2 linked regions of the Lepisosteus oculatus genome follow. The protein of the gene in region 1 interacts with the protein of each later gene in a biochemical or structural test. Links are inferred from orthologs where the notes say so. Each region holds a gene or a part of one and is shown on either strand. Other genes may lie near its edges. The genes, in order: mettl22 and kin.

Region 1 (15,991 bases):
CACACGAGCTCATCCGCTCAGACTGTAAAGATAACGAATGCTGGCAAATGGAAGACATTACAAGTCCCATCACTAATCCTCAGTTTGGGAGAGATGTCAGGGCAGATATCCAACAAACTCTGGCAACAGCAGGTGGCAGGTGATACACACTAACTGCACTGGGCTGCAGCAGAAGACTAATCTTTCTTCAAAAGCGTCTTATTTACTTTTCTTTGAATCCATCATGTTTCCTGAATCTGTATAGTTACAGTATACACACTCTCTTATGTTATCTGAGTGTGTTTAAAAATCTATTATCATTAATGTGCACAAAAAAGATATTGGCCTGAAAGGCAATTAATGAATACAACATTAATCAGAACACAATCTAAGGATTAAGACAACACATTTTTCTAATTCTGCATCAAGTACACTGTACACATCTACAACACTGTGACCTTTAAAAACATTTACAAACTAACAAGGGCCACAATAGTGTATTGTTACTTCACCTGGTCTTCAATTAAGTAAGGTGTGAGGTCATGAATTATCAGACCCTTTCCACATCCTCTGTTTATTTCTGCACAAATCTCATTGAGAAAGTAGTCTCGGAGTAGTTGTGGTAATAGTATCATTTTCAAAGTGCTATTAACCATTACACCAATTATTTCAGTGGCCCATCCTGTTATAGAAACAACATTACTGGCACCTACAGGTACACAATCCATCCTGCTGTATAAATACAATGGTAATGTAAAATGCCCCCCACATAAATTTGGCAGCCATGATGTACCACTTAAATGTTTTGCCATTTTTTTTGTCAGAAGTGTCATTTTGACTGTAGATACAGTATGCTATCTAAAGATGTGCCTCTCCACACCACTTCTGGTCGTCTGCACAAGAGAATGAAATTGTGCAGCCACTGGCGAAACCTGCAGACTCTGGGAATGTACTGATTGTTCAAACAATTTATCACATAATAAGTACAGCTTAACGTTTCTGAAATGTCTTCAATTATTAAAGATGTAAAGCTTTCTGATGAACCTGTATGCCTTCGTCTGCCCATACTAGGACTGCAGATGCCTTGTCACAGAGCACAACAGAAAATATCAGTGCAGAAATACAGCTCATGCCTCAGTTCTCAATTGATATCTTTTTAATGCCTAATCTAAAAGGAATTAAGAAACCTACTGTGAAGAAAAACAAATAATGTAATAATAATAAAGTGCTAAGTGAAAATAAGCATGAGGCGAGCAGTTTAGGGAACTATTCACGTACAATTAACACCTTGAGCTGTTTGATCTCGGCCTAATTATAGCAGCGACCCTTTATAGACAGGGAAAGCAACATGCGTGTCTGCTTGTATTGATCAGGTTAGAGATCTGCTGTTGTCTCAAAATACACCAAGGAACGGAGAGATGATGATAACTCACTGTGCTACAATATGAAACAGGCACAACAATAAAGCGAGCGCAATTTATTAGCAGTCCTCTTCGTGCAGCAAACAAAACCTAGAACCAATCCAGACCGAATCATTTTTTGCTTTCTTTTTCTTTTCCGGTCCCCGGCGCTTTAACTGTGGTTGAAGTGCGACCAGACGAATATCGCAGCCTGTAAATTGCTCAGACCGATGCAAATGATTCAGCTCAATTAAATTGTCCCAGATGTCTATAACCTTTAATATATGAGCCACGGACCACGCTGTTATTGTTTTCTACAAGAGTAAATAGCCACTGGAAGGAAAACAAACAGTAGCCACCAACATTCTGAAATATGCAAGAACCAAAAATAATACGCAAGAGTTTGGTTAAAGGTCTACTTGAACGTTTTGAGAATGTTGAAATGCATCAGGTTTAAAAATATAGACTCTTAAAATGATTCTTACTGAGAAGTTGCTTCTGGGAGTCTGTGATGTTTAGGTTTTCATTTCCAAATGGGTTTACGAACGGCAAGCAGTTGCTTTTTACTGTAAAAAAAATAAATTTAAAACGAAATATTAATTAACAGTCCCATGACTCAGTCGGATAAATATTAAGTTTTAATTATGCAATAGGTAAATCGTTATGAAAATAACTTACAATTGCAAGTTCTCCATAGTCCGGAATGAGAGCTGAGATGAGCAGAAGAGTTGTGGTCCCACTTCGACGCATCAATTATGTACCAAAAATCAGTTCCTATAGCAACAACCAGAAACACAAAGCTCAGGACACCGACGAGAGCCACAAAAATCGCCAGAGCGCTTAGTGTAAGCTTCATCCTGGCTGGGACGAGTAGAGGAAAGAGGACTTTTCACATTTTAGCTCCCGTAGAAAGATTACTGGAAGGAAACCCAGGAGGTATCTGGTCCAGATGTGGACTGGCGTCTACTGGCCGCTGTGGGTCTGCAGCACAATCCCTTGTAGCGAGGACTGTTGGCAGTAGGTGGCACATTTTTAGGTCTTGATGTAGTCATGCATTCCAGTATCCTATTCGTTTAAAATCCTGTTGTGATATGTATTTAAATCATAGGTGATGGCGGCTTTAAATTGCAAATGGCTTTGTGGCGCTGTGCACAGAGCTCGCCAATGAGTTTTCTTTTTACACATAGCTCTTTTGTTCAAAAGCGATTATAGTCCAGGAATAGGACCAGTGTAGGCGAATAATTTTGTATTCGTTTTCGAATCTGAAATCCGCTGCCCGTAGTATTTCTGCATCTCAGCACAGAAACGCATGTAAACTTGAGTTAAGAGGCTCTAAAGTTTTAAACCCTTCTGAAAATCGTTCCGTTTGTTTCTGCGTTGTGGTGACGACGGTGATGATCATGATCATGGCTGGGAAGAAAGAACGCAGATACGTCCTTTAATAAGATTAGTGTTCCGGGTTAATTGGGTACAGTCGGACTCATTTAATTTATCTGCCTCACCTCGTAGTCTTGGAGAAAAACGAACTCCGAAACTGTGAAGCTTTTTTGTGATGTAAATCCCTGACACCGAAAATCAAGAGTACATATCTCAACTGTCAATAAACCTCTACTTTCTGAGTAGCAGGGGCAGTAGGTTTCTGCATGGCAGTCATTAATAATGCTAAAAGCGCTTTAAAACAAGACTTGAATATGTGCCAACCCACAGTATGTTAATTTGCTCGTTCAATAGAAACATATCCTGAAGCACAGCGAACGCCGCCTCAGTCCAGACGTAACAGTGAAAACAGATTTTTTTTTTCTGATTCTCTCAAAACGCAGTGAAATTGAACACTGACACCGATATCGATAAGGAAAATGTAAAAACTTCGAATTCCAATCAGTCGTACAGTACCCCTGTCACAGAAACCTCACAATTCAATACGGTAATGTGTCATGCTGTTCTTTCCAAGATAATACATTCTGGAAGGCGCCATCGGAGCTCCTACGTCTAGGAGTATGATGATTTGTCTCATTACAATATTACAGGCAACGGTGGTAATAATATCAGTAGTCAAGTGTTCTGTGCCAAGAGCGATTATGTTACGACAATCCCCCCGGATGCCATTTGGAGACTGGCTAAACAAACATAATTACAACACGAAATACAAACGTGTTTCGGATACTCGCAGTCTGTAGTGCAGTTGTAGCTGTAACTAACCCGTGACGTAAGGGTTTGGATTTGGGATTAGAGTTTAGGTTACTTTCAGGTTTACGATTTAGTCTAGAGCTGGTTTTAAGGGTAAGGCTGACCTAAGGTAAGATTTGGGTTATGGTAAAACTGATCAAGTAGTGGTCAGGGATAAAGTTAAGACTAAGATTTAGGTTAATTATAGTGTTAGGCTTAAAACAAAGGCTAAATTTGAGATTTATTTTATTGATGATTTAAGTAAAGTATAGAGCTAGGGTAATTTATTAGTGTCTATATTAAAGTTAAGACACAGAGGGTTAAATTAGAAAGCTACATTCAGAGTTCAATGTAAAGCTACAATTAATGTTTTGTTCAGGATTTTTGCTAGGAAATTTGGAATTTAAGGTTAAGTGCATTAAGGGTTAAATACAGGGATGGGGTGAACAGCAGCGATAGATGAAGAAAAGTCTATATGTAGGGGGGAAAAATCCATCCCCGAGGTTATTGTGTTAATTACAAGTGGCATTGTCATAACTAATTCGGGCATTGCTGAAAACTTAAGAAAAAAGAAGATTCATTAATTCCTCTCTGTCAGTTTTCATTCCATCCGAAGTCTTTAGACCTCGGAACTAAGATGCCGCTGTTTCCTGAGCTCCTACGGCTGTCGGTCTGTAATACATGTTGCACTGAACTGTCAAACACGGGGTTTGTACATAGGGGCGAGAGGATATGTGCAAACCCGAGAGGCGCTGGTACTATTTTAACTTTGAACAGTTACAACTGCGTGTGTAGAGTGTTAATCGTCATTATTCATCTCCGTAGAGCTGTATTTGTTTTTGGCTTCACAAATTCCAAAGGAAACTTGTAGTGCGCGTCCGACGTCCCTGCCATTTCTGTAAGTTTCAAGTAACTATTTCTTTGTAACCTTTTCGTCCGTTTTCTTGTTACAGTAAGTTGGAAACACAACCCCCTCCACATTTTCACAAGCCTGAAGTTAAAGGTAGTTTCGAAAATAAGAAGAGTGCTTCAGGAAGGTTGTGAGCTGAAGACTTGTGTGCGTTAAATCAAAGTGCAGGCTGCGGAGAGCCTCTTTTAAGGTTCTGCAAGACGCAGACAGTAATTTGCTGTCCGTTTTACCAACAGACTTGACTGTTTCTGGTACAATAGGTGGCACCTGACGGACTGTGTCTGCAAATGGCGAGACGATTACAGTACTTACATTGAGTGTTGTTTCTTCCAAGTACTGCAGCGAACAGTCCGAGGAACTGATGTTTATGTATAAAGGTTACTGTCAATAAATATAACTGGTAAAATATAAAATCCCCAATACTAAAACAGCCTCAGAAGAAAGACAGCATGTACCTTTTGACTCAAGGCTATAACATGCATATACACCGAAACATACATGCTTGTTTTTTGACAAGATAGTACTCTGATTTTAATTAGCTGAAACCATTATTATACGCATCTTGCATAAAATAATCGTTAATTCCCCAATAAGGTAAAAGTATTATTTTGTCAGTAACTGTCACCAAGTGCGACAAGTGATATAATCATGTTGCAGTGTAAGCTAATGAAGTAAGACATGCATTGTAATGCAGTGTACTCAACAAAAGGTGTGACAGGCGAAGATGCAATAAGGTTTGATCAATGTAAAAATAAAAATAGTAACTATAATTAGCCACAGCTCGGGATTTGACAGTGAAGTCATGCGGAGGTGTAGCAGTGGTTCTGAGTGTAGCACTAGCCTAAATTTGGCAACAGCTGTGACGATAATTCACAGCCTGGTGCCAAAACAGTATCTTTAAACGTCTGGCATTGCGAGCAGTGGCTTAGGCTGAAAGTCACACTGGTTGTTCTGACATTCTACCAGCAATCAGGCCTCTTAAATTCTGTTATTTTCCACAGCAGTGCGCAGAAAGACTGAGGGCTGATGTGCTGAGATGGTGGTTTTTTAAACATGTGAGCAACATCCAGAATTCAGAAGTGTCAGTAACAACACTGGGAATTTGCCTAAAGCCGTTTGCATTGCATAGTTTATCCAGGGCTCCTCGGCAATTGCTTTTGCAAAATGCTACAGGGGATTTTTTTATGTTAACAGAATTTGGAAATGCCTTTTATTCCTGTTAGACCTACAGAGAAAGAGAGACCCGGGTGTGCTACTGTACATGCAGAGCAGTCTTCAGTGCTGTAGTGGGTGTTACTGATGTATCCTTTTAGGACCATTTGAACGTTAGTGGAAGTATGTTTTGATTGGCAGGATCAACTGTTTGTAAGTGTGGTTCTAAATCAGTGGTTTTCCCATCATCTCGTCTTCATTGAACAGGCTGTTTAAGAATCACTGTAGGTCAAAGAAGAGGCAAGTCAGACTTAACGTTGAGCTGTATATCTCACCTCTCTCCTCCAGGCTTCACATGCATTGTGTTAGTTTCTGACAGAAACCTTTTCAGGAGCCCTGGGTTGTGACTTGAGCCAATGACTACTCAAGATTCCCTGTAACAGATATAGTCAGGGGTTGATGTCAGTTAAATGTCAGATACTTTATTAATTAGCATGAACAAATATTGAAAATTGGCTAAATGTCTTTTTAAAAAAAATATTTTGAAAATCCAGATTTGGGAGTTGGCCAAACAAATAAATCTTACTGGTTTTCCCATCAAGCCAGCAACAGTAGTTTAATAATTCATAAGTACAACATCAGGCATCTAGACTTGGCTCATTGCATAATTATGTTGTATTTATGTGCCTACTCCTGAGTACAGAAGCTATTTAGCCTTAATCTGGGATGAGTACATAGCTGGAGAATGACTGCATTGATTTACTTTTCTTAAGCCTTCAGCAGTATAGTGAATGCACAATACAAGTCTCTTGCCTCTTTGCCATAAGGCTCAAAAAGAACTTGGTGATTTTGAAATCTGTTACGTCTACTAAAAAGCAATGAAGACCTGAATGTGAAGAAAATACAGTAGAAAGTAGCATAACAGGGGAATTCTAAGATTACAGTGACAACCTTTTTTAAATAGATTAAATGTTTTAACCCATATGCATTTTAAAGATTACTCTTTTATTTTGTACAGTACACACATTTAATGTTGTAATGAAAATTCTGTAAGATAAAGCAATTTTTACAAATTGAAAAAGACATATTGTACATATTGTGTGTATGTACTGTACACATTGAAATTTAATGCAAATTTACATCTTAATCACAGAAAAGATACCTCCTTCTGTGTTGTATGTCCAGTATATGGTAATATGAAATAACAAGATAGAGTATATATACATGGAGTGTACAAAACATTAGGAGTGCCTTCCCAATATTGCATTGTACCCCTTTTATACTCAGAACAGCCTCAGTTCGCTGGGGCGTGGACTCGACAAGGTGTTGAAACCATTTCGTAGGGATGCAGGTACATACTGCATGTCTACTCAGAGTAGCTTGTTCCATCTCATCCCACAGATGTGCAATTGGATTGAGATCTGGTGCCTGGGCAGGCCACTGCATTAAGCTGAATTTCCCTGTCATGTTCATGGAATCATTCCTGGACAATCTTAGCCTTGCGGCATGGGGCATTATCCTGCTGACAAAATCCATTCCCAGATGGATACATTGCTGCCGTGAAGGGATGCACCTGATCAGCAGTGATGTTCAGATATCCCGTGGCTTTCAAACATTGCTCCCCTTTTATCAAGGGGCCCAATATGTGCCTTGAAAGCACACCCCACACCATCACACCACCTCCAGCCTGCTGGAGATGTCTGGATGTCTTTTGGGTGGCGGACCATTCCGGATACAAACGGGACACTGTCGAGCCTGAAAAACCCAGCAGTGTTGCAGTTCTTGATGCACTCAAACCAGCATGCCTGGCACCTACTATCATACCCCGTTCAAAGGCACTTACATCTGCTTTCTTGCTGATTTTCCCTCACATACAGTACACCATCCAAGTCTCTCTTGTCACAAGCCTTAAAAACCCTTCTTTAACCTGTCTCCTCCCCTTCATCTACACTGATTGAAGTGGATTTAACAGGTGAAATCAATTAGGGGGTCAAAGCTTTCACCTGGATTCGCCTGGTGAATTTCAAGGATTCTATTTCAAAGAAAGAGCAGGCATCGTTAATGTTTTGTACACTCATTGTATTTTCATATAAATGCAAAAGGTAGGCCCAAATCTGTGCATAATGTGTACCAACTTGCCAAAGAAGAAGAAATGTGTGTTTAGCCCACTAATTATATATCTGAATCTGTACTGAAACTCATGTTTTAAACTGACATGAACTGTTTAATAAGCTAGATCTCTTTTTCCACTAACAGCCCAAATAAGCTATGCAGATGCTCATTTTATATTGACAGAGCACTGTGTGGATAAATGTATACTATATATAGTACCCACATAGTAATCTCTTACATAAGCAAGTTGATTTATACTGAATTTCAAGCCTGTTACCCCACTTGAAATTACAGACATGAATTATACATGATGATTTTCTGCTTTGTTTGTACAGTTTGTACAAGAGCCTGCAGCTTTGCAAAATCTAGAATGTATTGAGTTGCTGCACATTGGGAGTCATATTTGTTTCCCTTGACATTCTGTTACATTGCAGCTAAGAAACAAATTGAGCTTTCTGTCTTCCTGCTGATTAACCAGTCAAATGCACTGTTTATTACTGTGGAGGACTTTCTTTATATAGCTTGGAATTTAAATACAGCCCTACTAATCCTACAAAGTAACTGATAGGTTGTTCAGTTTTTTCAGTCGTGATTGAAGAATTATATTGAGGTGTGTATCTGTGGCACTAAAAAAGCCTGGAGCCTAATTTTATCTTCCAAATCCTTCACTGATTCCACCTGCTGTGTAATTGGTTTACAGTTTCTGTAGATTTAGAAAATGTCTAGGCGTTGGACGCTTGCACTGGAGAAACCATGATGTATATTTTCAGGCAAGTCAAAACCTTGTGTAGCAGGGCAATAAAATTGGCATGGCAGTGCATATTGCCGAACACTGCACTTGGGAGAAAAGAACTCCTTCATTTTAATGATTCTGCCTTTGGTTTATTTCTTCAAAGGAAAACCTCTCCTGGTTGATTTGCGTACAGCGGCTGGCAGGGTTTCAGAACAGAGGCTTTGCTGAAGGACCCACGACAGCAAATCAGAAGCCCACCTTGCTGTGTGCTGCCTTGCAGAGGGACTGGAGCTGGTCATCGCGAACAAAGGCGAAACTCCGCGAAGATCCGGGGTGAAACGACTGGCTCCCGGGTCCGGGCCCACTGTGCCCGTCATGCTGCTCTCGCCATGGACCTCATCACGTTCCGCAGCGACACCGTGCTGTCCGACGTCCACCTGCTGCTCCCCCGCGGGCAGCGCCTGATGGCGCGCCTCAACGCCGCGGGGCAGCCAGGTACGGGGGCGGGAGACCGAGACGGCACAGACAGTGTGTCACTGCCCGCAATCCGCCTGTCCACCTGTCGTGCCGGCTCAAGCCAGGACAATGCTATGTAAGGGACCAGTCAGAGCAGGGACAGTGTCTCCTAGTCTGGACTGGGGACTGTGGAGAATTTCTTGTCTGGTGTTTTGAAGTTCTTTCAAATGCGCATGTTCTTAGACGGGTACTACATAGTAAAACTCTAATGTTGGGGATTCCTGTCATGTAATATTATCTTCATTCCTGCCGTCGCTATTAGATTGTTTAATCAATCCTGGTATCAATCAAGATTTTTCCCCAAGCGATATCTCTTCTTGTGCCCTGAAAAGGAAAAGGTCATCAATTAGGCCAACAGCTTCCTTTTTTCCCCCTTCCTCTTTTAGTTTTCGTTTCAAGGTTTAAGATTCTGCAGGACGGCTCGGGCTCTGCCTGCATCCCAGGAAATGAAGTGGCTGTGTCTGCAGCACCTGGAGAGAGAGGCGGCTCGCCTGGGGAGGAAGAGGAGGGAGAGAGGGGGCGGCGCCAGGTTATGGAGTCCCTCCTGGATGAAGACGGGGATCTGGACGTGCTGCGGAGACCTACGGCTTCCCTCAGGGCAGAGGGAGCTGTGGCAGAGAGGGACAAAGTCTGTCCCATCATTCTGAGTAAAGGGGAGGGGGAGTACAGTGATGAGGAGGAGTCGGCTGCTGACAGGGATGTCATTAAGATTGGTGAGAGTCTTTCTGTGGCAGGAAGCTCACCCTCTGAGCAGCCATGAGACCCTTGCTGCTCAGAAAAGGGTCCTCTGGCTGCCTGTGATGTAAAGAAAGCGAGCGCATTTTAACATGCTGTTGGTGTCCAGTGCTGAAATTAATAGAAATATTGATTCACAAATGTGCTGTTATCCTAAAAGGGGAAGAAAGTTTGCTGTTAAACAATTCATGTTTACGTGTTGAGTTGTTTATATGAGTTGTTGCTGTGTTGCTATGTTAATTTGTGCCGATCTTTGTTCTATCCTATTTAAAAATCCCAGACAGTTTCATAATCAGAATGAAGTTAACAGAATGAGAGTCGCAAGTCTCCAGTTATGCAAAAAAAGGACGGCCAGCCATCCATTCTCAAACCGCTTTGTCTACTTCAGGGTCGCAGGAAAGCCGGAGTCTATCCCAGCAAGCAAAGGGCAGTAGGAAGGGTACCCCCTAGACAGGATACCAGTCCATCACAGGGCACGCACAAACACAGATACACGCATTCATACCAGGGCCAAGTTTCCCAGAAGCCAATTAACCTACCAGTATGTTTTTGGACTGTGGGAAAAAACCCACAAACATACCAACTCCGTGCAGACAGCACCTCAGGTCTGGAATTGAACCTGGGGCCCTCAGGGTGCTCTGAGGCTGTAGTGCTAACCCCTGTGCCACCATGCTCTCACCAGCTATTGATTTTACATAACCGGTTTAACAAAATAAAATGAAAATCCTATTCCCAAGACTGAGAACGCGGAAAAATAATGTTGGTGGTAATTTCAGCTTTCGTAATGAAATGCGACTCATTTTTAAATTAATGGAAAATACGACGAATGCCGGGCAGACTTCAGCAGTGAAAAACTGTGTTAATGGGCCTGTGAAAGCGAGGGCATTCAGAGTGTGGTGCTTCATAAAACAAAGGGAGATTTACAGCCCTTTTAATGGCAAAGCCTGTACAGTGGAAGATAGAGTGTTTAAACGATGCTCTTCCATTGAACCAGCCAAGGAGCTGAGTCATATTAAATGTTGTCCTCTTAGTTTGTCTGTATCGGCCTTTATCTGCCTGAATTGGCTTCATAGCCCTTAACCCCAACTGGTCCAGGGGCGCCGTACAATGGCAGACCCTGCGCTCTGACCCCAGGCTGGGGTGGAGCGGTGGCTCTGTGGCTAAGGATCTGCGCCTGTGGCTGGAAGGTTGCCGGTTCAAATCCCGCAGCCGGCAGAGGAGTCCTACTCCGTTGGGCCCCTGAGCAAGGCCTTTAACCCCAACTGCTCCAGGGGCGCTGTAGCAATGGCTGACCCTGCGCTCTGACCCCAAGCTTCTCTCCCTGTCTGTGTGTCTCATGGAGAGCAACCTGGGGTATGTGAAAAGATAATTCCTAATGCAAGAAATTGTAAAGGGTTAATAAAGTGATATTATTATAGCTGTATCACCACTCTCTCCGTGGCCCTTGAGTGTGCACGTGCGCCAGCGTGTGTGAGGTAATTCCTTGCCAGGAGTGGGATTCTAACCCCAGAAATGTGCCCTTTGTTTTAAACAGAGCATACAATGGCTACACCCCTGGAAGATGTGGGTAAGCAGGTGCGTGTCCGTGCGTCTCGTTTGGTAACATGGATCTCGTTTCTGTGGAACACACCTTGTAGCTGACTTCTCTCTCTCTTTGTTTTTTCCTTTTCCGCTAGGTGTGGAGAGGTGCTGTCTTTATGGCCGATTACATTCTGTCGCGCCAGCAGCTGTTCAGGGGGCGCACTGCCCTGGAACTGGGGGCCGGGACTGGAATAACCAGCGTTGTCCTGGCAACGGTTGCCAGCAGCGTTTACTGTACAGGTAAGCGTGTCTGGGAACATTGAGTGTGATACAGTACAGACTGAGCTGAAGACCTGTAATAATGAGTGAAGGTTGCTGCACAAGGCCGTGCACGTATCTGTTTCCCTGTCGATTGGTGCAGACCCGGGGGAAATCGTTGAGTCAAGCATTCCCATTCTTTTACTGCGTTTTCACCCTGTCTTTCTCCCCCTCACTATCCGTTGAGTCATAGGATAGCCAGCATGTGCCTGGAGCGCCACTTTCATGGATAAACCAGCACCAGCATGACTTCATTGCCCAAAATGGCAAGTGAAAGGTGTGATCTGCTGCAGGAAATCTCATTCACACCTCCTGTCCTCATGCTGACCTCATGCTGACCTCAGTGCCTCCGTTAGAAAATAAAAACAAGGCCGCCAGGAGATGACAAAACTCAGATAGCTGGGCGTGCAGTGCTGTGTTATTTTCTTGCAGGATGCTTATTTTTCTTTTCTTTTGCTGTGGAAATGAAAGACACTGAAAGTGAGTCACTGCTGGAAAGCGAGTTGCTGGAAAATGTGTTCTTAAAAATGTTAATAAGTTCACCAGAGAGAAATTCTGATGAATATTTGATGTAGTATCTGGATTTTCACTTATGTGTGAAATATGTCAAGAAAAAAATCAAGGGGCTATAGGGCAAAGATGAGGTTATTGATTTTCTTCCGCTACAAAGAGACCTAAGAAATCTTCTGTAGACACGCAGTTATTTTATATGTTGACAATTTCTGTATGACCCGAGAGATCAATTTGTGTGTCTGTTTACTGTGCCGTGTCTTTCAGATGTTGGTCAAGATCTGCTGAGCATGTGTGAGAGGAATGTGGAGTTGAATAAGCACATACTGCAGCCTGCAGGTAAGATACTGCTTTCTAAATAGGCTGAACTTCCTGGGCATTTCATGAACACACTGGTTCCCTCTAGTGACTCACTTGGGTCACTCTCACAGTGTGCTGATCTGTACGTGGTTGTACTGGGCACTGATCTGCAAGAATCTAGATTAGATCATTACCTTCTGATATCCTAGACAAATTGGTCGCTTAGGAGAAGCTTTCAGTACCATATTATCAAAGGATTCTCTTTTCAATTCTAAAGAGTTTTTTAATTGTGAAGCTGAATGCTGTATTGTTCTAGTCACTCCCAAATTTAAAAATGCAAGTTAAGCCTAGATATTCAGTGAAATAGTGGATTTTCTTCCATACAGTCTTTATTTTGGATGAACTTTAGTAAAACAAAATGACTTCTGGCTCAATTTGCAAATTGAATTTGAATTATTTCTATTTGTTTAAAGCTGTCGTATTCTAAGTACTGTGCATTTTCATAAATGTAATTCCTCCTCGAATGCTGGCAATAATTTCTGGACGCTTTTGTGGGAATTAATTCATTTAATCTGTGTAATTAGTCTTCAGTGTCAGTAGTCTCTCTTAAATGTTTTGAACCACACATTTCTGCCACTAATTCATAAAAAATGAAATGAACATTCCATGCATAAGACAATATTTTGGTACCTGATTTTGAAAATATCAAAGCTCCTGTTGTCTATATACATTGGGATGCCTTGTTTACTATAACATCAGTTTAATTGTTTCTGTACCTCTTTTCATTACCAGGAGGTGAAATCAAAGTTCGGGAGCTGGACTGGCTCAGAGACGACTTCCACACAGGTACGATTATGATCATGAGAGAATTGCTAATGGAACCCCAGGAGTAATTACTTCTTTATCTGTGTGATACAGTTACCTACATAATCACCCTAAACTTGTGCATATGAGCACAGGCATTTCATAAGGTGCATCCGAGAAAAAAAGGAGCTGTGTGTTCTGTTTAATGCTCTAATCTGTTTGCTACATTGAGGAGCATGTTGTTTGCTCTTCTTGTGAGATGTGCTTTCCTGTTTTGCGAACATTGGTAAGTTGATAGGGTCCTGAGGTGGCAGAATCCATTGGAAGCTGATTTGAAGTCTGCCGCTTGCTGACTGTGCTTCAGCTGTGTTTTCCTCTGGGCGCGTGCCAAGTGGGAGCGGGGCGGCGCGAGGAGGTGACCTCACCGGCCTCTCGGTGCCTGACTGACACCGCCGCTCCATTGCAGGCGCGGGTCGGCAGTTCAGCTGGACAGAGGAGGACATCGCGGATCTCCACGACAACACCACAGTCCTGATCGCTGCGGACGGTCCGTGTGCTGCCCAGATAAGATGCGCACCTGTGATACAGTCAGTTAAAGCAAACATGTCCAATCGAGGCAGCCAGGAAAGAGTGGAATGTGATAATAAGATAAGATCACTTCTAGCACAGGTTAATTACTTAATAGAAATCACTTTATTAGCCATATACAATTTCTTGCATTGGGAATTTGCATACCTGAGACACACAGGCACACAGACAGGGAGAGAAGCTTGGGGTCAGAGCGCAGGGTCAGCCATTTATACGGCGCCCCTGGAGCAGTTGGGGTTAAGGGCCTTCCTCAGGGGCCCAACGGAGTAGGATTCCTCTGCCGGCCACGGGATTTGAACCAGCAGCCTTCCAGGCACAGGTGTAGATCCTTAGCCACAGTGCCACCACTCCGCCCCGGAGATAATATTTAGTCTTACCTGGGTCCTGTCAAACCATCTTTCTGCTGAGTCGCAGCTCCCTGCTGTTTCAGCGGTAACCTGAGTTGCCCCTGGCAGTAGGCTGGGTCTGGAAAGACTGATTCTCTGAAAGTATTCTTTAATTGCTCTGTTTGTTTCAACAATTCAAATTGATGAAAAGCAACATATGGCAATGGAGTAAAGAGAGCAGACAGCCAACTCCTGACAAGTAAACAGCAGCTGGGCTCCACGCCACTGTGAAACTTAGGAGGCTGAATGAATGGTCTTCATTCCATGAGGTTTTCATGTGATATGTTTGGGTGTATGTCTTAAAGGTTTTATATAATATTTAAATGACCTAAAAATAACCTGGATGGAAGGCTAAAAAACGGTGTCGCACTCCCAGTGTTTTTCTAATTGCATTGTGTTGTGTTTTTCAGTGTGTTATGATGACGAGCTGACAGATGGCTTGTTCAGAACACTATACAGAATCATGGGCAATCTACATAACCCGAGCACTGCCTATTTCTCAATTGAGAAAAGGTAATTCCTGAATGCAATGCGTGTGTGTCTGACCTGTATTAGCCGTTTTCATGCGACTCTGTTGGAGCGTGAGACGTTTCAGTCCTGAATGCTGTGGGCTCCGCTTTCTGCAGAGGGGATGGTATATTTCGGTGAACACATCCATCACATCATCAGGAGCTCATTTGTGGACTATCTCCGCACTGATGCTTAAGTTCGGTTTGGACGTTGTTCCAGGCTGAATTTCACACTCAGGCACATGGACGTGTCCTGTGAGGCGTACGATCACTTTCGCTCCTGCCTGGAGGCCCTGGGGAAACTGGCTGACGGCCGGACGGTGTTCTCTGTGGAGCAGGTCCCCCCCTCCTTCCCTCAGTTCTTCAGCTACGAGCGAATCGGTCAGCTGGTGAGTGGACCACGGAGCTCCCTGCCTGCGCTCGGCCCTCACAGACACTGTCCTGTCACATGTTAGAACTTAGTGATTTTTTTCGCCAAGGTACATACCAGCATGGCAAATATCTGTCCTTGGTTAGTTACTGCTCTGTTTGAACAGGGTTTAAAGGGCCTTGTCCTCTTTTGTGATCAACAAATCTGATTTTAGTGGGCAGGACTGTGGTATTGGTTTTTCAATATTACTGCCTCAGAGCTCCAGGGTCCTGAGTTTGATCCTGGGTTTGATGCCCACTTGTGCATGCTCACATGGGATTTGGTTAGGTAGCTGCTCGTCCCTTTTTTGGGGGGGGGGTGTTTGAGGGAACACGCATGTAAGATGTGTTTCCAGTACAATAGAGATGGAGAATCGCATGAGCACAATGGACCGAATGGCTTCAGCAGTGGTCTTCAGTTCCTCTCATCAAGCAGCACCTTGTTTTTTAAGGTGGAAGTTGTGTGGCCAAATTTGTGCCACTGCAGCCAAGGGAAAACGGGAGCAGAAAGAAAAGCTTGAACTTTCATTTTCTTCTTCTTCTGTATTCCAGGAGCTCTGGAAAATCACAGCTTCACCCCTTGAGTGCAGTAAGGAATCCACTTCTGAGAAATAGCTCAGCAGCAGCCTGCCAGAACTGCACTGCACTATACTGGCTGATAGTTACTGTGACACACTACGTATCACTACGATGGCAGTGTGAAACCATAGACTGTGATGTTAAATATTGAGTTTGAACTGACTGCAGTTACTATGTTTTGCTGTTTTTTTTTTTAGTCTTTCTATCTAATTTGTTTCTAATTTAAAGAGCTTTTGTTTCTGAAAATGATATGGTTTCCTTGGTTTAACTGCTGTGTTTAAGAAACACATTTCAAACTCTTACAGATGTATTGAAAACCCTTTAAGAAATGTGTACAGTTTTTTTAAATTATAAAGAATTAAAGC
Region 2 (15,908 bases), on another chromosome or scaffold:
GAAGCTTGACAACAGAAATATCATACTTACTGAATCAAGAATTAGAGTAGCGGAAAAAGTCCTTTCATCTATAGACTCAAGTATTGCTTCCATTTCCCTGTAACTTCCATTCAACACCAATACCCTTTTCCCTGGAACAAAGACATAAAAGCCATAATATATAATAGCTAAGTGTATATACCTAATATTATATTATTAACATGTATTATGACTAATATTCTTAATTATGCCATATTAATAGAAAATTAAGAGCTTCAGCAAAATTACACGCTATTCCTTGCCCATAGTTAGAACGCTGTGATGTATAAGCTGATGTTATACCTGGAGCTGGAATGACTGTCTCCAGATGGCTCTGATCAAGTTTCAGTTTGTCACCAGAATCAGTCATCTTCACAATGGCTGTGTACTTCTCCTGCACTTCCTGCAACATGTGCCGACAAAGAATACATTAACAATGGCCAGCGACTTCCAGAAATCCATATCAGCTTTCCTTAGCTAAAATCAATGTCAATCGACAGCAATAGACACACAGGGTTTTTGAAATAATTCAGAATAATGAAACTTCAACGTAGGGCATAAAAGATTAAGTTGGAAATTAGCTGATCAAAACAGGAAGATATAAGAAGACTATATTTAAATATTTTCTGCCCGACACTTGCACTTGCTGTACAACGCCCAGTTCTGGTATGTGATTTTATGTATTGTTCTTTTTTTCACTGCAGTTTACTGTGCAAAAATATTTTTAGCTAGGTTGTCACTGGAAATGAGAAGTTGTTCAGAAATTATTTATATTTGTAATCAGAAGATTATTATAGGTTTAGATAATCTCATACTTCTCGTAATAATGTATATCTCATACATAACTAGTATAAGTTTATATAACCTTAAACAATAATAACAACAACAACAACAACAACAACAATAATAATAATAGTGGTAGTAGAAGATATTTGAGTTATTTGAGGATTTTTCAACAATAAGTTTTTTTTCCCCAACAATACATCAAATTTCCGAGGTAAGTCATTACTGCATCTTCAAAATTTGACTGTTTACCAAAAGTAACAGTAATATTTAACCCAGTTACCTTTATAACTCCTTTCTTCTTATAATACTTCTCACCCAGCTTCTTTGTTACTACTTTAACTATAATATTCTGAAAAAGAAAATGGCATTAAAAAAATGGTAGTTTCTGAATCTTAAAACAGACTAACGTAATTTAAAAACTACAGTTTGACAAATTAACGAAAAGTAAATTAAAGAGGAACTGCAGTCCCAATTTCTCAGACCGGTTATTAGATCTTGATAACAAAATTAATTAATTGACAGTATAGAGTGGCTCCTCTGCAGTGTTCATCCCCTTCTAGATATCTGTTATAAACTAAACTGGGGATATACAGTGCAGCAGTTAGATTTTGCAGCAGATATCGTTCCATATGATTAATGTTCAATATTCACTAATTACGTTCAAACACAAAGAAGTTGTTGACTGTGTAGAACAAGAGGCTGGCCTCTCATTATGACCGTGTACAAGTGTGAAAAAGACTCAAATCTGAAGACTTACAGGATGCAGCCAGTAATCCACTCTTGTTGTTTTCTTTTTTTGTTCTTCCATCTAAAATAATTACGAAACAATCTAATTTTCTAACTGTTTTGATAAACCGATCCACAAGATGATATTTAAAAGTATAAATGGGGATAATTGTAACATCTTTTCTGCAATTTCCCTCAGGGGATCAATAAAGTATCTATCTTTTCATTTTAGGTTTTACATGTTTTATAATCCTGGAGCACTAGTGAAAATGAAATGCAGGAGACTTGGCGTTCATGTCAACATAATAGGTCTGAATTTTTATAGCCCTTATGGGCTTTACTAATAAGTAAGGACATGGACATTAAATGTTTCAAATTAAAATTGTTAAAATCAGTCATAACTCCCGGGTGTAAAAATGAACATAACTGAACATGTAATCTTAAATGAAAGATGTAATAAAATACACATAATCTTAATTTGGATAAATGCCCTATTAGGTCTGCCTAATGGGTATATTTCACCAACACTTGTAAATAAGGGCCTACATTTAGTACTGTGCACAACACATTGAAAACAAAGACTTCTATAATGACAATTTAGAAACAGTACCTCAATGATTTCATCCAGTGCAGATTTCTTCTTCTTCTCCTTCGATTCTGAGGTATGACTAGACTCCTTTCTCTTTACAGAGGTTGCTGCAACCTGCAGGGCACTTGGTCCTAGAGAAGTGCTGGGAAAATGATATGCTTTAGTTCTTCTTTTTAGGAATGCATTTATATTACAATTAAGAAAACAAAAGAAAATAATGAGAGTCAGGTAATAAAAAGAGTCCCATCAAAACAAACGTTTAGATTGATTATCAAGTTTAATATAACTTTTTTAAAATATCATCTTGTAACATACAATCTTCCATATTTATGTTAGTAGAAATGGAAGTAGAAACAGTCTTTTTATCATAAAACGTGCAAAAAGATTTATCAAGTCTTTATTCTCCTTAAATGTAAAAGTCAACTGAGATCATTTTAAACTCCCATTTAAAATAATACTCTAATCTACAGGTGTAAACACTGCTGTGCAGAAAAAGCAATTATAAAAGAAAAAAGAACAATCGCTAAAAATTAAAACAACCTGAAATTACATTACATGGTACTATTAATATTCATCCTTACCTTGATTTTGAAGAAGATGCTGCAGAGTTACTCAATCCCTTGGCCAAATTAAACACAACTGCAATATTAATAAATAATATTAACAACATGTAAAGGTTTTCCAGACCATTATGCCTGAGTTCACAACATCTACAACAAAATTAATAACTGAGTTAATCTTTTCTGTATCTATGAAGTTTCTTACAGTATTTGAAACTTCACCCAGGCATGTTGTTGAAGCAGATACCTAGGCATCCTTCAAGAAATGGCAGGATGAGATCCGCAGATCAACTATCTAAGTTGAGAGGCAAATACGTTAATGGGGTGAATGGCCTAATCTTGTTGTTGCTTTTACATTTTTTAAGATACTTGAAATTTCTTCTGATACTTTTCAGAAAATCAGAAGTAAACTGTGCTCTGGAGCAAAAAGCTTTGTGTGCCAGGGCAGTCTATGAAGATACTGCAGTACCAGAAAACCTGCCACTATAGGAAAGAAAAGGGCCTCTAACAATTGTAAATCAGTTCACTGGGTGACAGTTAATTATTAAATTACTGATGGAGAGATTGTGTCCACAGTCTTACATTAGCTGACTTAATAGCTATTATAAAAATGGACTTGCATGGCATGATTAGATGTTATTTTAGGTCAAGACACATTCATATGTTTACAAACAGAGCTTTTCTAAAGTTTTATGGATTATGGATTCAAGACCTAAAGATCTGCTATAAATTATCCCACACCTTATTTCTGTCAGCTATTTTAAATTTTTTGGTGAATCTTATCATATTTTCTTTCTCCTTAGATTCAATACTGGCACTAAAATACCTCAAACTGGATAAATGAATACTACAAACTTACTTGTAGTTACGAGCAAAATAACTTGTTTTTAATGACATTCACTTTTATATACATTAATGTTGAAAGTACTCACCCTTCTCTTCTTCATTTTCTCTTTTCAATTCTGTAAAGACAGGAGTTTCCTAGAAAAATAACATGGTAACTAAGACCAAGATCTTACTGATTTTGCTGGAGACGATTTAAATAATTAACTGCTGTAAGAGTGAGGATCTGTAGAGAAAGAACTTAAAGTGATTACTACTCTTTATTTTGGGTATTTATTCCACACAGGCCAAGCACACTTTAAGAACTAAGTATTCATTGCCCTTTAAGTTGAGCATGATCATTAGCTATAATTACCTGAAACACTGTACGTGTCATTAAAGAATGTTAAATAGATCATACTGTTTAAAAGAACATTTGTCCCATTTAACCGCTGACAAAAATAAACTCACAAGAATGTAGGTTAAAACTGCAGGAGTGAAATGTATAGCAAATGGGTTCTGAGATTCGTGATCGGATTTAAGGAACTGGTGCTTAAGGAACCGATGAGACAAAACCAACAGTCACTGTGATGTAAAGTTAATCCAGGCCATCTGTTGAAATTGGCAGAAATGTGGTGTTTTCAGCTGGGAAATGGACTTGGTTTATATGAAGTTTGAAGAGATGTGAATCAAACGTAAGCTTCTCTCATCTGTCGCGAATGCTCTTACTAATATTAGCACTGTGATTACCTCCTCCTTGCCTTCTTTGCCTCTGCGAACCTGTTCTTCAATAAATTTCGCACTTCTTTCTTCATCATCCAGATCCTGCTTTTTCTTCTTCTCTAATTCTTCCTGCCTTCGGATTGTTTCAGGATCCCGATCAATGTACTGGATATACCAGCCTTTAGGTGTCTCATCCACTTTACAGTATCCTAAACATAGAAAAACAGATTTCTATTCTCTTATACTTTAGCCCTACAAAGTTTAGGAACCTCTTATCAAAACAGTTCAAAAAGGCAAGAAATTGCGGGCCTGCAAGGAAATATTTTTTTCCATTTCACTGGGCATGCCTATAAAAGATTTCCATCCTATTCATGGTGTATGATTACCAAAGCTGTGGCTTTAAAGTAAGATCTGGTACCGATGTTTGGAGAGTGAGTGTTAAAGTGTGAAAATATGCATGGATAAACAAGGTTCTCTTAAAAAATATGATAAGATTTTTAACACAAGAAAATAATTAAAGCAGAAGAATGAAAAGCATTACCAACAACTGTCTAACTAGATATCACATGGAACAAGACATTTCTTTTTACAAACCTTCTATCATATTTAATAAATCCTATGATTCAGTATGTGAAACGTTAAGTTTAGATATATTTAAAATCTTTCAAAAATGATACCCAGAGAAAACAATGCCACAACTGGCTTTGTGACAATCAATCATGGGCTTAAATGTCCCTTTGATTCAAGGCAGAAATCCTCCCCTTCACCCACAGAACACTACTGCAAATACTGATATCCCTGGTAGATCTTTATCCATTTTAAAAAGACTTACCTTCTTTACCAAGCCATTTAGTGAAGTCTGTGAGGGTTTCCCACTGAGTAGAGTTCATATGGACATGTTCTCTGTTGCTTATATACTCATTATAGACAATATTGTTGTGGACTCGCTTTGTCCCTGCAAATACAACAGAAATCATTACTAAAATGATATATCAATGTTTTCTATTTGTATACTTTAATCCATTAAAGAATATGTTAAAAGCAGATGAGGTTCTCTGCAACTTTTACAATGGCAAATGTAAACACAGGCAAACTGTAAAATACAAAATTGATAATTGTTTATCTCCTCCATACTTTTCTTGTATGAACAGTGTTTAATATGTTAAACTTTAATATAATAAAGACTTAACTAAAGCATAGCTAGGTATTAATCCACTAATCTTACCAAAACGTCTTCTAATCAGCTCCAAAAAATCATTCTTGAACTCCCTAAAAGAGCAAACAACCAAATCAGTTCTATGCATTAATAGCAAGCAATCATAAATGCTCAAGTAAACCTTAATATTAATCAGAAATATAATTTATGTATTTTTGGTTAGCATTAATACCACAATTATATTACATGATATTTCAGCTGTTCAAGTCTTTATAACAAATCAGAAGTTTATTAGGAATAATAACACCAGGTAATTAAGTGTACTGAAAGGATTATGGAGCGTTTAGTCAAAATTTGGCTTAACCCCCTTTGTCTGAGGGCTAACCTCCTGGCCATAGGACGAGGAGGCTGAGACCTCTATGCAGAGTGAGGAGTGACCAAGGGGCAGCTGCAAAGGTGGAGAAGGGGTGGAGGTGGGTTGCAAAAGATGTATGTGAGGGAGAGAAGGGGATCACATACAGTATTTAAAGGGTTTTAGGAGAGGAAATAACATCAGGACTGATTGTGAATTACCGACAGCCCGGTCTGATTGAACCTGGCTGCCGTCATCCCTCCTGAACTATCGTTATAGACTCCATGACATTCCCCAAACAAGTAGTATTTAACATACAGAGGGTGCTAGTCCAGGACACACTGGACTACTGTATGTTCATGTCAGGATCTCATAACATAAATCAGCATCTGATACGTGTGATGTACAGGCCTCATCAAGTTCCTGGAATGAATGGATCTGACTTGAATCAGAGTCACCTTATTCATCAAACCTGGAATTTTGGTCTTCTGATCATTCCAACAAGAGCCTGGTGCAGAACAGGCAGACTACACAGTTATGGTCATAAGCAGGCTTTAAGGTATTTCCTCTAAGTTAAAGTGTCACCCGCTTTAAGTTATATAATATTTTTTTTAATTTTCTTCAACGAATGTTATTTCTTAGGAGGTAAGAACAGAAGTGCCTTGGGAACTCATCTTTGCTGATGATGTGGCACTGATGGCAGACTCAGAAGTAGAACTACAGGAGAAAGTGTTCAAATGGCAGAGGAGTCTGGAAAAGGGTGGACTGAAAATGAATGCAGAAAAATCTGAAATAATGGTAATGGAGAGAAGAGGAGATACTATGACCAATGTTGAGGAGACAAATGGAGGAAAACTGAAACAAGTTGATGACTTTAAATACCTTGGATCAAAACTGGTAAAGGGAGGAGAAACACTGGAGGCAGTAAAACAAAGAGTGAAAGCTGGATGGAACAAGTGGAGAGAAATAACTGGAATAATCTGTGACAGGAAAATTCCCAGAAAGTTAAAGTGCAAAATGTACAAGACTGTGATTAGACCTGTACTACTATATGGAGCTGAATGCTTGGCAGTTGGAAAGAGGGAAGAGAACTTGATGAGAAGAACTGAAATGAGGATGTTGAGATGGATTCTGCAGATTTCAATGAAGGATAAGATCAGAAATGAAGAAATCCGTAGACGATGTAGGGTGGTGGATGTGGTTGAGAAGATGCGAGAGGCGAGGTTACGGTGGTATGGACATATCATGAGGAGGGACGTTGAGGAAGTAACAAAGAGGGTAATGGAATTTGAGGTGGAAGGTAACAGAGGAAGAGGCAGGCCTAGAAAGAGATGGATAGATTGTGTGAGAAAAGATATGGAGGTATGTGAAGTGAGTGAGGAAGATGTGCTCGACAGAGACAAATGGAGAAGAGCAACCAAAGCAGCTGACCCCAGGACAGTCTGGGACTAAGGCTGTGAAAAAGAAGAAGAAGAAGAATGTTATTTCTTATCGGCACCGTCACCGTCTAGGTACTTCATTCTTTCTGATTTCCAAAATTTCCCATTGGCTAATCACCTAATATATTAACAACACAGGGCACAGTCAGAAAATGGAAATGGTAAAGGAACAGTCTTCAGTTGTCCAGTTCGACACTCACTCTGAGAAGTAGTCCATGAACTGGTCAGGATTCTCCGAGGCGAGAAGGAGCTGCCTCTGGTGCGACTCCGACATGCAGTGACATTTGAAGCCATTCTAGCAAGAACACAACAGGACTCATTCAGACCTTTACTTCGCGTTTTCTCCGTCTCGAATCACAGCAATTATCATTTGCAGTCAATAATTATGAGCTTAAAATACTCGACAGTTGCATCTGCCGGTCAGCACGCAGTAGCTAGTTGTATTTCGTCACTACATTGTATGATAATATTTCATAAAACATAATAATTGTGAGACGTTTTGTGGCGACATTTTCTTGTAGTGTGGTATGAACACGATTTAGACTTAATACCTTATCGTACGTTTAGCTTTTAAGTGTTATTTGTTAGTTGTTAAAATGTAAAACGTTGTGCAAACTAAAGTTAACCAGACTCACCTCATCTCTGCATTGTTTCTGACACATCTGACAATACCATCTTAATTTCTGAAGGCCTTTGGACTTTATCCTGTTGCTTATAGCTTTGGGACTCAGAAATTCCGCTTTTCCCATTTTGGAAAGCCAATGTTCACAAACAAAACAAAATAACGATGATCCCTGTTGGAACCAGAAGTTCACAACGCGCTCTCCTTACTGTTGCGTTTCACGTCATCAACAACTTGCGCTCCTTGTTTTCGGTATTGGGTCATTACGTCATGCTTACCCACACCGTCTGACCATCGCGAGACTGAGTTGGGCCATGTGACGTGGATTTGTTTGACTTCTTCTGCGGAAAGTGAAGTTTACGCGTGCGCAGTGAGTGGAGATTGACCTTCGTTGGTGTCACCATGTTCGCGAGAGCCAGCGTTCTGGTTTTTCAGCCACAATGGTAACGTGAATCTAATTGCAGGGTTAAATCCAAAACGATATCTGTTAATGTGCGGTTGGTTATTTTATGCTTTAGCACGAGTCAGATTTTGTGCTGTTCCGTAGAGACAGATCTTGCTTGGCACTATTTTACCGGTAGGCCTGGGCAGTTTTTTTTGTAGGGCGGCCAAGTTCATGCTATTAAGCGAGATTCATTGTAAGAAACATTTAAGTCTTTATTCATATCTTACCCACTGTTAGTATTTTTTGCTCTTTAAATTTGCATTTGCACAACACCTCATGATAATTTGAAACGCCGCCGTTGCATAAATGCTTACTGCGGTAACGATATAGCTCTCAATGTCACTTCTCCAAGACGAACAGGGCATTCATTGCATTATTGAGAATATGTTTCAAGCAAACATCAGACATATTAAAAACATATGTTTTACTATGTATTGTTCCTTTGTCATTGTGACAGTTAATATCTATATTAACGATATAGATCATTAGTGTCAGTTATTAAAACCGCCTGAACTGAAATTCCTATTTGAGCCTGTGCTATACTGTTTTACGGGGTGATTAAAAAGTTGTTAGCATTGATGTGGAAAACTTGTTTGTGGTGCAATTATTTAAGAAATTATTCAATTTGATGTGGCTACAAACATGAGTGGGCCATTTGGCATATATAGGCATTTAGAGTTTTAGTAGCTATTTGATCTGTGGGTCATATCTCAGCTTTTTTTTCAAACAAACGGCCGGATATCACCTTCAACATAGTGGCTGTGTAGCTTGTTCCACCCTCCTATAGCTTACTGTGTAAAAAGCACATCCTGTAAATTCCACAGACTACCTTTTGAATCTGTTTTGCATGCCAAAGGTGCACTGAATTGTAATGTTATAAATGAATCATTACAAATATTACTGACTAATATTAGCTTCTCTTGCAGTGGCCAAGTCAGGAACATGGCTACACTGAAGGACAGTAAGTATTGTTTAATAAAGTGTATTTTATCCTGTTATTTGGACATTTTGCTCATAGTTTTAGTGGATTTTAGTCTTTCATGATTAGCTGATTTCAGGTCTGCATCATTAGGTTAGTAAAGATCTGACGAGTGTGAAATGTAAAGCAAGGCATATAAATGTGAATTATGAAACTTTGCCAAGGGAAAAGGTTGGAAATGCATTGAAATTGTGGAAAACTTCTGTGACTAAAACCTAAGTGAACAGACTGTCTTAATTTCTCACATGCATTAATCTTTCTGTTCAGTGGACAGAAAATACCAAGATGACTATTCCTTGTAGCCAGAAATTAAGTGAATAATATTTTTCAAACATTGGTGCAATGGGATATGAAATGTAACTGTACTCTTGTCACTTTTTTAAATACTAGCCTGTTTCCATGCAGTGATCAGTTGAAATGATTAAAACCTTTTTAAAAATCTCTTGCAATTGTTCTTAGTGTATATATTTTTTTCTAGTCACCATTCGCCTGAAGTCCATCAAGAATATCCAGAAGATCACCAAATCCATGAAAATGGTTGCTGCAGCAAAATATTCAAGGGCTGAGAGATCTTTGAAACCTGCACGTGTTTATGGAACTGGGGCCCTGGGTATGTTATTAGTTTCCAGGAGTTTGTCACAGGGTGTCACAAACTGCCCAATATATTAATTTAGATATTTGCCACAATGGAAGCTAGTCTTTCAGAAAAAAATGCTGTTTGTGTTATTTTAAAAGCAGATTTTTAAAAATTATAAAATGATATATTAATGTCTTTTAAAATAGTGCATTATTATTCAAGGAAGATTTTACATTGTAGAAAACAGGATTTAAAGACGAAGACGCTGAGGGCTTTTACTTACACTTCTGTAAAGCACTTGCCACATAATCTTCTCTGCTTATGTGGGGGAAAAAAAGTTCTATAGAATAATCTATACTTCTGTTGAGTTATTTTATAACTTCAGATGGGCTGGCATGGTGGTACTGTGTTTAGCATTGCTGCCTTGTTGAGATGGGGCCCTAGATTCAGTTCCAGACCTGGGATGCTATCTGTGTGGAGTTTGTATGTTCATGTGTTCACGTGGGTTTACTCCAGGTGCTCTGGTTGCCTCTCACATCAAAAGACATAATGGAAGGTTAATTGGCTTCTGAGAAATCTGGCCCTGGTGTGAGCGTGTGTGTCTGAGTCAGTGGTAACCTTTGTTACCAGTGATGGACTGGCATCCCATCCAGAGTGCACCCAGCCTTGTGCCTGTTGCATGTCGGGATGTGCTCTGGCTCCCCTGTGATCCTGAATTAAATAAAGTGATTAGGAAATAGATAGGTTGGGACAGTTAAGATGTTTTAAGTGGGATAAACAGGCTTTTGGGTGACTGTAATAACTACCTGCCAAGCTTGAGTAGTGACTCTGATATTTTTCCAGCTCTGTATGAAAAGGCAGAGATCAAGGCTCCAGAAGACAAGAATAAGCACGTCATTATTGGCGTTTCTTCCGACCGTGGTCTGTGTGGTGCTATTCACTCCAGCATTGCGAAGGCCATGAAGAATGAAATCGCCAGTCTGACCAGCGCCGGGAAGGAGGTCATGGTGGTTAGTGTTGGGGACAAGCTGAGAGGTATCCTTCAAAGGTAATCCCTACTTTATGATAGTCCTGTTAACTGATCTTGTAATTGACTTTAGTCATTCATAACAAATGTCTGTTGTTGCTGCACGCTGTTTTTGTTTTTAATTGCTTTTCTTGAGTCCTGGCCATTTTATTTTTCACTTTTATTGAAGTGAAGACAGACAAAATATTGAAAGCCGATACCAACTTTGTATTAAGTACTGCCCTTAAAAGAAAAGTTCATAATGTACTTTCTTGTAAATCAATAACAAAAACTTTTTTTGTGTGTTTTTTTTTTACAATGGCACTCATTTATACTTTATATATAGTTTCGTGGCCTACATATTACCAATATGCTGAGCTGGGCAGAGAATATTAGTGCAATTGTGAAGAAAGCCCAGCAGTGTCTGTACTTTCTGAGGTGCCTAAAGAGGAGTGGCACCCACAAAAAAGCACTGGTTAGTTTGTACCGTTGTGCCATTGAGAGCATTGTGACTGGAGGTATTAGTGTGGTTCGGCGGTGCTACCCAGAAGTACAAACACATTCTCCAGAGAGCGATTAGAACAGCCGAAACATATCATTGGAACAGAACTTGCTTTGTTGGAGAATCTCAGTACAGCCCGCTGCAGGAGCAAGGCTCACGACATCCTCAAAGACCCACTCCACCCTAGCCAAAGTCTGTTTACCTGGCGAGACGCTAAACATAACCTTCGGCGTCGTGAGCAAGAGAGCATTAAGACCCGAAGGAACAGGTTTACGAACAGTTTCTTCCCAAGGACAGTGCCAACCGGCATAACGTATAGGAGGCCCACATCAACCTCAGCTCCGTAGACGCAATGTCTTTTATCACGTGTAACTTAGGAGCCATTCTTGTGTGGATTTTTTTTGCATAATAGTGTGTACAGGTTGTGTAGAGTCTTTTTTCAGTTTGTGTATATAGTGTCCTGCACATAGTCTGTGTGTTTACCCTTTTGTCTTTATGTTCTCTGACTGAGTGAAACGGTGTAAGATTTCCAACGCGCTGTTCGTGCAAATGGCAATAAAGGTACTTGAACTTTACCTGGCAGGACCCATGGAAAGCACTTCTTACTCAATTGCAAGGAAGTAGGACGCAAACCTCCCACTTTTGGGGATGCTGCCACCATTGCCACCGAGCTGCTCGATTCCGGATTTGAATTTGACCAAGGCTCCATCATTTTCAACCGATTCAGGTAAACATCCAGAACCTCATTTTAAACTCGCACGTTGGAGCTTTCAGCATCGGGTTGCATTTAAAACGGCTTCTTTTGTTTTTTCTTAGGTCTGTTATTTCGTACAGGACCGAGGAAAAGCCTTTGTTCTCCCTTGACACCGTTGCCAATTCAGGTATGTTATCCAATGAGAAGGATTCTTTTTACAAATATACTGCTTATTAAGTGTTTGTTGCTAATGAAGCAGTGTGATGATGAGCAAAGGTGCTATTTGCTTGCAAGTAGAAGCAGTTCAGGAATTCTCCAGCAGCTCATTTTGTTGAAATCCCAGGTGCTTTAACTAATAGGTGATAAATAATCTGATTATGCTAACAGGCATACAATGATAAGGTTGCTGGCTTCTGTGTTCCACTATAAAAGAGAAAATGGTTTTGAAAAAGAATCAGTGCCATTACGTTAACTTGAACACAGAATTTTATTTTCTTCACAGAGACATACATTGCATGAATGCCTATTATAAACATAAAATTAGGATTTTTATTTTCAGAAATACCTTCTCTGCAGTTTCTGAACACCATTGGTTTGGATTTCCCATGCAGGTTATTGAGAGAGAAAAAAAAACACTTTGCATTTACCTAAAAAATGTTTTGATTAAATGAAATGGGATATACTTGCTATTATGTGTATCTTGTGAGTTATCTGGAACATTTCCACCACATGATCAGAATTACATTAAAATTTATATTAATGAAACAACAGATGGATGCATTAAGCCTGTGTATAATGTGTTAATTTTTGGTCCTTTCAGAAAACATTGGTGTCTATGATGACATTGATGCAGATGTTCTGCGAAACTACCAGGAGTTTGCTCTGACCAATATCATTTACTTCAGCTTGAAGGAGTCAACCACCAGCGAGCAGAGTGCTAGGATGACTGCTATGGACAGTGCTAGCAAGAATGCTTGTATGATTTGTATATTTTTATTTTAAAATGCATTTTAGACTTTCAGAATTTATGAAAGAGCTTTCTGAGTTTGCCTTTTACAATAGTCCAGTCTTCTGCAAACTAACACTATTTTTGTAATGTCAAATTTTTAAACCTCTCTGTATGATTATATTCTGAACCAAATCTTGTAAAACACATTTTTTTAAACCGATTGACACAGTCTTAGCTGATCTATTTGAGCAATTTAAAGACTTTTGACTTCTTCAAAAGGGATTCTCTTAATGACGTAATATCTGAAGGTGTGATTTTGTTAAAGATCTTTCGCTCTGTTCTTTGCAGCCGAGATGATTGACAAGCTGACGCTTACTTTCAACCGCACCCGTCAAGCAGTCATCACCAAGGAACTTATTGAGATCATCTCTGGTGCTGCTGCTCTGTAAGTAAAACACTGTTCACATTCATAATCTTCCCCTGTTGCATTTGGTTAGAGTTGGCATCAAAATCTAGTTGCCATAAAATGTTCATAAGTCATTTTGACTTGTAATTATCTTCATAAATAGTCTTCATCACCATTGGGGGGTGGAGTGGTGGCTCTGTGGCTAAGGATCTGCGCCTGTGGCTGGAAGGTTGCCGGTTCAAATCCCGCAGCCAGCAGAGGAATCCTACTCTGTTGGGTCCCTGAGCAAGGCCCTTAACCCCAACTGCTCCAGGGGCGCTGTACAATGGCTGACCCTGCGCTCTGACCCCAAGCTTCTCTCGCTGTCTGTGTGTCTCATTGAGAGCAAGCTGGGGGTATGCGTAAAGACGAATTCCTAATGCAAGAGATTGTATAGGGCTAATGATGTTATGTTATGATGCCCTGTACATGTAGTTCATATTGATCATTTTTTGGACTGCTGTCCTGAGTAAAAGTACGATGTGCCCTATTATATAAACAGCTAAGGCAGAGTTCTTGTCCTGATCCAGGAAAACCACAAACCTTCCAGTTTTTCTTCCACCTGATTGAAGCCTTATTTGCAATAACAAGTAGCTAGATTGGAATATTTACAAGTTTTTTATTTTGTCCATTCAGTAATTTAATTGTCCTTAAGAACTGCAGTTGTTACAAATCAAACATCAACATGTTTAAGAGTTGAAAACAAACAGTAAAGCATTTCAAGTGAATCCTGATTCATGTTCAATTGTGAAACGGGGCTTTGACTGGAACAAAGTCCAGAAGGTGCTTGGACCTCCAGGACCAGGATGGAGGTCCCCTGAGCCAAGGCACTGATATTCACTCCTAGTCCTGGAGAGCCACAATGTCTTTAGATTTTATTCCAGTCTGGACTCATTGACCTGTAAAACCTGGTGAACTAGAGCACATCGGGAACGGGTGTGAATATCTCCGAGCTAAGAAAATGCGAACCTGCATTTTAAACAAAGACATGATCATAAAATCTTATGTTTTTGGAATATGAATATGATCCCTGTTAAATCATCAATGGACAACAATGTACTCTTAACACTCCTGGGTGTTCCTGTCTCGCGTGAAGTGGCAGCTAATTCCAAATACCTAAATTAGGTGTGTCAATGTGATGGCTTCAAATAATGTTTATGTACTGGCAGACACAGGCTTTGAATTGCAACATTTTTGTAGGATTTCCCCGTCTAGTCAGTGAAGAAATCAATGAGTATTACTACTTAGTGAAGTACCATTTCCTGAGGCCAAACTTCAATCAGGATTTAATCCTTTGTTAAAGATGTAGTTTAAAGGTTACTCTTTATTTCAACTGATCCTTTGTTCTGATTTATTTCTGGCATGTTTTCAGAGATTGAAGTGTGGTTTTATCAGAACCAAAACCGAGGTAACGTGCCTTAGACTAGATATTGTGATTTTCATGTTAGTTTGTTCCCTAATTAAATATTTTTGGAAGACATGTATGGTTTTGAATCTCCTTTGTGGCTTGGCATTTTCACCTTTTAGAGATTAAAGATTTATTACATATGCTTTATGCCTAAATCTACTTCAGCTGTTAGTAGTTAGTGCTTTGTTCTGCCTGTGGATCTAGTTCATTTAGACAACCTGGTTTATTTTCATTCCATAGCAATCAACAGATGTAATATACATTGCACTTTTGTTATAACCAGTTTTATATGTTTTTGTTATAGATAAACATGGAAGACCAGCTATTATCAAGTTTCAGTAAGGTTCTGGTGTCCACGCTGAGAATCATCAGTTCTGTCAAGTATTCGTGAAACTATCCTCTGTTTGTAAAATATCTTCGAATAAACATCTTACACAGAATTGTAATTGTTTTTTTTCCTTTGATAATTTGCGTTTTACACAAAAGCAAAAATAAATTGTGTTCTACAAGTTGTGAAAACATTAAAGTATAGATCAATACTGCAATGGAAAATAACCCATTTCTTGTTTTCAAACATTTTGAAAATGAGCCGCGTTTACTAAATTTTAAATAAAGTATAGTAGGAGAGTCTGCAAACCCTTAGTTTGAGTTGGCTGCATCCAGTGTTAGACTGAGAAGCTTTTTCACTGTTCTGCAGCTAGATCTACAATGCACATTTCTGCCTCTTCCCACGCTGTTTAATGCAAAACTAACCTATTTTAATGGTACCTATACCAGAATCTCAAATCTCATAAGTCAAAGTCGTCTGATGTATGAGTGTTTATTAACTTTAAAAAAGAACAGTATTTGTTCAATAATACAAAGAGCAATTTTTTTTTGGGGGGGGGGGGGGGGGCAATTTAGAGATGCCAGCAGGTTGCAGGAATGTAGGGGAGAACTGGAGCATTGCCTGGGGAGGATATGCAAACTCCAAGCAGAAGATGCCCTACAGTAGAATTAGAATTAGAACTCGGGACCCAAGAGCTGTAAAGTATTAGTGATAACTTGTATACTACTGTTATAGTGTATCAGTATACTGTTATACTGAACCTTTTTGTATCCTTGCAGTTA

What was found.
Region 2: of the proteins of mettl22 (region 1) and kin, one has a biochemical effect on the other in vitro, tested with the Homo sapiens proteins (2 studies listed by BioGRID). The link is inferred for Lepisosteus oculatus from reciprocal best matches to the Homo sapiens genes METTL22 and KIN.

Annotation. Positions count from the first base shown.
Region 1 is NC_090714.1:13,697,257-13,713,247, reverse strand, and holds the start of mettl22 (methyltransferase-like protein 22), read left to right. Parts: upstream 1-8,640; 5' UTR 8,641-8,841; coding exon 8,842-8,947; intron 8,948-9,354; coding exon 9,355-9,681; intron 9,682-11,237; coding exon 11,238-11,278; intron 11,279-11,379; coding exon 11,380-11,524; intron 11,525-12,319; coding exon 12,320-12,391; intron 12,392-13,144; coding exon 13,145-13,198; intron 13,199-13,622; coding exon 13,623-13,703; intron 13,704-14,540; coding exon 14,541-14,643; intron 14,644-14,859; coding exon 14,860-15,028; intron 15,029-15,599; coding exon 15,600-15,662; 3' UTR 15,663-15,991. Other genes in the region: transmembrane protein 114, read right to left, coding at 1,865-1,945, 2,058-2,235. UniProt on the Homo sapiens protein: Protein N-lysine methyltransferase. Trimethylates KIN at Lys-135 (in vitro).
Region 2 is NC_090702.1:43,104,384-43,120,291, reverse strand, and holds the start of kin (DNA/RNA-binding protein KIN17), read right to left. Parts: upstream 8,043-15,908; 5' UTR 7,921-8,042; coding exon 7,807-7,920; intron 7,467-7,806; coding exon 7,372-7,466; intron 5,494-7,371; coding exon 5,450-5,493; intron 5,180-5,449; coding exon 5,057-5,179; intron 4,434-5,056; coding exon 4,252-4,433; intron 3,661-4,251; coding exon 3,612-3,660; intron 2,759-3,611; coding exon 2,701-2,758; intron 2,262-2,700; coding exon 2,141-2,261; intron 1,613-2,140; coding exon 1,562-1,612; intron 1,154-1,561; coding exon 1,085-1,153; intron 422-1,084; coding exon 322-421; intron 132-321; coding exon 31-131; intron 1-30. Other genes in the region: atp5f1c (ATP synthase subunit gamma, mitochondrial), read left to right, coding at 8,196-8,236, 9,165-9,199, 9,696-9,827, 10,638-10,842, 11,886-12,029, 12,119-12,183, 12,817-12,972, 13,294-13,394. UniProt on the Homo sapiens protein: Involved in DNA replication and the cellular response to DNA damage. May participate in DNA replication factories and create a bridge between DNA replication and repair mediated by high molecular weight complexes.